Linked DNA regions of Bombyx mori. The protein of the gene in region 2 purifies or fractionates together with the protein of the main gene of each other region. This does not show direct contact. Links are inferred from orthologs where the notes say so. Each region holds a gene or a part of one and is shown on either strand. Other genes may lie near its edges.

Region 1 (4,232 bases), on a different chromosome or scaffold from region 2:
TCTTGTTAAATTTAAATTGAACACACAATCATCTGCTTTTAAATAAATAAAAATTATGAAAGTCAGTTCACCTAGAAAAAAATTTGAAGTAACACATGAAAAAATGGTCCAATTGAGAATCTCCTTTTTTTTGAAGTCAGTTAAGTAAATCTGTAAAACAACAATATTTAGAACTAAGAATTGTACTCACAAATCATCCAAAATTTTTAAATCATCCTCAGTTAATTTAGCAGCACCATTTGTTCCATTTATGAAATCAGTCCTTGCATCTGCACTACCCATTTGCATAAGGCAATCCAGAATAAGTAAAACTTCTTTTATTTTGTTGGTCTCTGCTGCATAACGAACCCAGGCTTCCTAAATTTAAAACAGAACTGTTAAAAACTTTCAAGAAGAACGATTATGCTTTTAAATGAGGTTGGAATAAAAAAAATGTCTTTTGGAATATGATATTTGATGGTAGTAAAACGAATCCTCTCTCTCTTATGTATAGTTGCTGACTGTAGTACTTTCTTAGAAATAGTTTAGAATGGAGGTTTACAAAAATGAGCAACTTTATGAAGTTACCTTTTTAGCTTGTTTTTTTGCCTCACGCTCTGAAGAGATTGCTATAGCAGTAACTTGCTTTGAGAGATCTCTTGCAAATTCAAGGGTTTGGGCAACTTCATCATATTTAGCAACTGCAACTTTTTGATCAGAATTTAGCTCTTTTCCAGCTTTCTGCAGGTCACGATATGATGTTAGTTTACTCTGAAACAATAAAGTAATTTATTTTTTTCATCAGTGACAATAATGATCATGACATCACATTAGTGATTATAATGGTTGATAGAAAAACTGCTGCTATAATTTTAAAAAATTTAGCTGATTTCAAGTACTTTATGCATTTAATAGAGCATATTATGAGGATAATTTAAAGTACGTAATATATAACTGTAGATCAAACTAATATTTATTCATGTATATATTACAACATATACATTTATCTCTGGTTGCCATGATACAGTGATCCCAATTTGGAGCTACATGACCATGTGTGGTTTGTCCCCTGTTACATATTTATTCATTAACTTTGTAAAAGATTTTGTTCCTTTTTCTGGAAGTCAATTGATGAAATAAAATGTGAGGTACTTAATTACTTTAAATATTGTAAACTGCCCAAAACTGAAATCATAGGATAAATCATTGAGTTCACTGGTGTATATGTATGTCTTGAAAGCTAGTTCTTTCATTGTATTATCAAGTGTTAAGCTTGTAAAAAAAAACTTTGTAAACCCTGATATTTATCTTGAAAATTCTCCAATATTGGTGTACATAAGAAACCAAGAAACAACAATGTTGCTGACTCTTTTAGTTATCATGATAAAAATAATGTATACTTTAACTACAGTGTAGAAAAATTTATGTCTATTGAAGAAAAAAGTTTTCCTTACATATATGGATAGCCCCAAATACTCATTCTCAGTACAGGTAAACTGCCTATAATATGGTAGATGCATTCCTAAAAATTCCCATATTATATGAGATTAGAAGCAAGTACATACAAAAAGGAGAATATTTTTTTCTGAATCAAACATCTCAACTATGCCTGTATGTATTTTATTTTATGTAATATACATAAAAATAAGCAGTAATATTTCAGATTGTGTATTCATAGTGCATAACTTAATTGTCTAAATAATTTTAAACAAAAAATTTGTTATCATGTTGTAGAGATACAGTGTTATAAGGTTACCTGTATTCTTTAACCATTTGTATTTGACTATATTATACTAGATATAGGTTAAGTATAGGTATACATAGTTTTGTTGAATAATTTAACTATAAAATTAACAGGTACCACCAATATTATTGCACTTTGGGTATTCATGAAAGGTATTAACATAATAGGAGTGAACAACTGGATTTATTAAGAATAAGTTACTTAAAATTTTCAGTAATAAATCATCTTTAGCACAACAAAATGAAAAATAATCTTTAGCACAACAAAATGAAAAATACCAAACTAAAGTAATCAAACATTATTTATTGAAAATTCTCTAAAGAAATTTTGGTTTGAATTAAGCTGGACGTATAATTTATTGTTTGGAAGTGATTTTTGCAAATAAAAAAATAAGAAAAGAGAAGTAATAAAACAGACAATATAATATCACAATTTATAGGTGATTTATTATATTAATGTAGTTTGCTGTCATAGCAATAGAAGTCTAGCAATTCTATCCATATCTCATCTACAAAACAGTTTGTCACAGGGCCTAACCTGTAAATTCACTATGGACTCGTTTTAACAACAAAAGATACTACACAAGCTAGAACATATAAACACTAAAATACTTTAGTCCTAAATTAAATTTTTTTTAATAGCAAAGCTAATGTTTTCGCTTTAACATAACTAATTACATTTACTAAAAGAACTACTGAAATAAATATAGAGACAATAAAAAAATTACTCCCAAAAATAACAGGGCGTCATGGTTCTCATCGTCAACTTTGCGAAGCACATGTGTAAAATGGCGTCAAGAGAGTATTTGAATGAATTTAGCAAACAATTAAGGAATAAGCTTATGGAACGAATTTAAATAAAGGTCAAAACACGAAATTAAGGCAAGTTTTAAGAACGATTGAACACTCGACTAACACCGGAACATTAAACATTTTGTTGATATCGTTTACATTGTATTTACTTACCTTGCGTTTTTCCAAATTACGAATTTTATGCTCAATAATCGTCATAATTTGTCGAATTGGTGTATCCTTATCCTCCGAAGAGGCCGGCTTTTCAGATTTTGCATTAGCAGCTGAAGGCATCCTTCACAGGCAACAACTTTTCTTGGATTGCGTCGTGGGTTAGAAGATAGAGATAGAAATTTCTATCTGTCACTCCCAGCAAAAGGACGCAAGTCGTAAGTTTTTTGGAATTTTGCTATATGGCAATACCTACTTTAACCATTCAGCTCAGGATCGTTGAGGTTTTTTGTTTTGATTATTTCGTAAGGCAAAAAAACAATACACCAGTTTGATGTCTTGTTATTTCGGTTTAATAATGAACACACACACGAAATGCGTGTGTCGTTTGTTTAAGAGGGAAAGAGAGAGAAAACGCAAGGAGTAAATTGGTGTGAATTTTTTGGTTTTGTACATTTAGTATTTCCTCAGGGTTAAAAGTCTATTAATGATACCTGTTTAGCATGTGAAAGTGCGCAAGTCAGGCAGAAGTCGGTAGACATGGCTTCTCAAGTACTAGAAAGCCCAGTCAAGTCTCAGCATATTCTTACTATATTACTGTGACATTATTTCTAATCTTCTTAACTCGTTTCTTCTTCTTGTTTTTTAAAGTACTTATGAATTAAGTGTTTATAAAGGTAACAATAGCATCGCAAGAAGAGTCAAAATATTGAAAAAAATAAGAAGTGATTATAATTCCAATATTCCGACTTTTTTATTTAGATCGTTTTTTTCTGTTATTCTCCGAAGAACAAAAATAGCTTCGTACTATTATAGTTACTAATAATTAGGAGGAAATAGATTAAAATTGAAATTAACAACGGCTACTTTTATTTTACACACCACATATTAATTGAATTGCATTAAATCTCATTTTATGCAGACGTTAAAACTAGTACATATTATTAAAACTAAATTTTGTTAATGGTGTTTTGTTTGTTTTACCTATACCTATGCCTAATTTATTATATGGTTGTTTTGTATTGCTGGTTTCCAAATCAATAATGAAATAAATATGTACATGAGTATTTAATTAAAAAGGTCTTAGATAAAGGTTCTTGTTCTTCTCTTTTTTAATATGCCATAGTATGCCAATTGGTTTCTTTCAATGCCATTATTGCCAGCATTATGTCTAAATTCAATATATTAAATGTTTTAAATATTACAAGTAGAACATTTCCCTTCCTTTGAAATATTTGGGCCTATTTGGCGGGAGCGCGAACTGTGTGAATTGTTTTATTTTGTTACTTTAGCATTTCTTCAGGCTTCAACGTGTAACAAATGTAACTGTTTAACATTTGTGAAAATGCACAAATGTGAAAAAATTAAACAAATTCGCGTTCGTAGCTTCTCGGTTCTTACAAAAAGTTAATTAAAAAATCTCATTAAAATAGACTTGGTTTAAAGCTGCAGTTACCAAGCCATAAAATCATTTAAAAAAACAAATTGTTATATTTGTAATCTATGAAGGACTTTTTGGCGGGAACGCGAGGTGTCAAGCTGTGCGA
Region 2 (3,171 bases):
ATTACAAAGAATGTCGATATCTCAGCTATCATACAGCCTTTACAGAATTATTCTCGCTGAAGAACGATGGGTTGTTTTGAATACATATATAGATTTTTTTGTTATATATATTATCGACGGTTTAATTGGTAACATTGGCCACGACACGTTTGGACACTGGAAGAATATTCTCGAACTTCATGTCGCACTCGCCACGGAGCCCCGGACGCCAGGGAGCACCCCGGGCACTGCGCGGTGCTCGAGGATTTACCAGACAAACGATATCACAAATTCCAACTACGAATCAAACTATAGTGATATGAACAAACTATATTTATGTTTCTTTTTAATTACAACCAACCGTCCTTATTAGGCTTGGAAATTAGAAATCGATAAGTGCGAATTGTCGTCGGTGTGACCAGTTTACGAAATTTCGTAAATCATAAATGTGTACATTCTTCAAAACGTTTTGTTAACGACTAAATCATATCAGTAAATCGTTGTACCTACAGTAGAAACGTTTAGAATTTTAATCAACTTCTATAATTTGTTTTTTTTTTGCAAATTGGTCACACCACCGGAATTCCGTTACTATTAATTAATTATTAAAATAAGAAATTAATTTACTATCTAACTACTTAAACGAAATATTCATGTTAAGCGAATTGCGAAGCGTTGTTAATGTAAAAATAAAAATGTATTAGAAATTAAGTACCGCTGCGGACATTACAATTTGTGAAAAGACCTGGTCTTCTGTACGTACTAGCGTGGCTCCCCGGCCGGCAGTCTTTTAACATTGACTACGCTAATGCCATTGTCAGATTGCCGTACTAACGAAAAGCTAATTCATCTGTTGCAGAAAGGAAATTGTATTGTGGCACCAACTGTATGTGTGACTGGATTACAATTCATTTCGTGTGGAATGCAAAAGCAGAACTCCTTTATCTATCTTTAATGAACAGTTCAGTCCAACAGATCAGCGCGGCGAGGCGAGCGGTCCTCGTACAGCTAAACAATTAACTATGGTCTGCAGTTAAAAAAGTCAATCTGAGATCTTTTTTATCTCATAATTTTAAACTACAAATGAATAAATTTGTGAATTTAATGCGATCAGTGTTACTGGTGGCGAGTATTACATAGAACTTCGTCACCGTGAACAGGGATACAATTTTTAACATTACTTTCAACGGAGAGGAATGTAATTAATTTTCGTAATGATTTTTAAATAAAATAGAACTGCGGCAGATGTATAATAGTTTATGTGAGTGAGGGAGGCAAGTTATATAAGTAACATACAGGAGTGTACACCGGGCGCGTCCGCAGCGGGTGGCGGGGGCTGGCGGGGCCTAGCGCCGGTAGGCGGGGCGGGGGGCGCGGGCCGAGGAGGGCGGGCGGCGCGCGCGGGGCGGGGGCTCGCGGCCGCGCGCCTTCTTCTCCTCCACGTTGAGCTTGACGGCGTCGGCGCTGTCCGGCGGGAAGTACAGCGGCGCCGCGCTCAGGCACTCGCTGGCGGCCTGCGAGCTCTCGTACGTGATGAAGCCGTAGTTGGGCAGGCGCGGCTGGCCGGGCGGCGCGCTCTTGGCGTGCACGCGCAGCTCGGCGACGGGCCCGAACTGCGCGAACAGCGCGCGCAGCTCGTCCTCGCTGGCGCCGGGCGGCAGGTTGCCCAGGAACAGCTGCTGCGCGTCCGAGTAGCGCCGCGCCGCCTCCGGGGCGGGGGGCAAGCCGGGGGGCGGCGCGGGCCGGGGGGCGCGGGGCGGCGCACTGCTCGGCACCACCGCCGGCATGGCGCGCTGAGCCTGACTCGACCCCGACTTCAGGAGGTTCGCGTAGGTCTTCGGTTCCGGAGGGACGGTTGCTAACAGTAAATAATTATTTGTTACTACGGATGTCAAACTTCTGTTGAATCGATAAGTTATCGCATTCAATTCACATATATACATATTTTTTTGTTAAGCGCTCCTGTTCGGTTGTTTAACATTGGTACCACTTCAAGTACAGTATACGTACCTGGTTGTGGCGGCGGAGTGGGTTCGCGCTCGGGCTCCGGCTCGGGCGCGGCGTCGAGCGGCGCGGGGGCGGGGGGCGGGGTGGCGCTCCGCTCGGGCTCCGGCTCGCTCGGCGCGGTCGTGGCTGGAACCAACGGGACATGCCTCAGGTGTGCAGCACGAGAAGCTCGAGCAACACACAGTCGACACAACACGTCTTACCCAACGAGGCACGCTTTGACGTATTTTATTTTAAATTTAAAGATTGACTGAGCTGTTGTCTACGTTAAGTTAGCACGAGACCGGAGATGAGCTATTTATATGTCTCAGCAATGCAGCTGATGCATAACAACAGGTGAAAATTTTCAGACCGTGATCATAATTTTGTTTTTTATAATATTATTGTCAATCGTACAATGAAGAAGAACGAAACATGAAAATGAGTGTGGCACGGAGCGTTAACATGTGAGTGAGAGAATACGGTAAGAAAAAGAAAAGAGTAAGACAAGATGGCGATGACGATTAAATTAGCAAGACTTAAAAAATATGTTAGTTAATCTTTAATTATGTAGCGTGCAACACTCGGTCGCACTCGGGCGTCATCGGATGCGATCGGAGTTCCCGAACGCGCAGGTGTCCCGTGACGTCATGCTACGAGATTCGCGCGCGTCGATTTAATCAGAATGTAAAAACGTAATTTTAGTTTTAATTTGTAACTTCTAGTTCCTAGCGTTGTTTACTTTACTTTTGGTTTATATTTTAATATTGTACACATTATAGATATTGTTGAAATGGTGTGTTTGACTTTTATATGTTCGGGAGTAAAATATCCTGCGAATGCGAGGGACAAATAACAAACCACAATTATAATAACAGAGAATATTTCGGAGAGAACAATTAAAGAACAACAGTGGAACAGTTTTATTTTATGCACCACAATCACAACTCTACATTGTGATGGTAAAGCAGCTTTCAGACTACGCTATAATATAATAGCATATAGTTTATAGTAGTATAGCTCATAGCACAACAATATTTCGCACCATACATTGTTATGGACACGTTTACACTGTACTGTACTATATATTATTGGCTAAGTATACGCTGCTATACTATATGGCACTATAGTGTCTTCAAACGAAGTTTATGGAGAGTAGTTAATGGTAGGCAGCGGCTTGTCTCTGCCCCTGTCATTACTGACGTC

What was found. The genes of interacting proteins can lie anywhere in the genome.
Region 1: the proteins of ras GTPase-activating protein-binding protein 2 (region 2) and glycosyl-phosphatidyl-inositol-anchored protein purify together in Homo sapiens (affinity purification with mass spectrometry; 5 studies listed by BioGRID and IntAct, with this or other methods). This does not show direct contact. The link is inferred for Bombyx mori from reciprocal best matches to the Homo sapiens genes G3BP2 and CAPRIN1.

The regions. Positions count from the first base shown.
Region 1 is NC_085119.1:10,436,764-10,440,995, forward strand, and holds the start of glycosyl-phosphatidyl-inositol-anchored protein, read right to left. Parts: upstream 2,908-4,232; 5' UTR 2,809-2,907; coding exon 2,689-2,808; intron 751-2,688; coding exon 568-750; intron 358-567; coding exon 191-357; intron 1-190. UniProt on the Homo sapiens protein: mRNA-binding protein that acts as a regulator of mRNAs transport, translation and/or stability, and which is involved in neurogenesis, synaptic plasticity in neurons and cell proliferation and migration in multiple cell types.
Region 2 is NC_085112.1:761,832-765,002, reverse strand, and holds part of ras GTPase-activating protein-binding protein 2, read right to left. Parts: intron 2,113-3,171; coding exon 1,990-2,112; intron 1,838-1,989; coding exon 1,326-1,837; 3' UTR 1-1,325.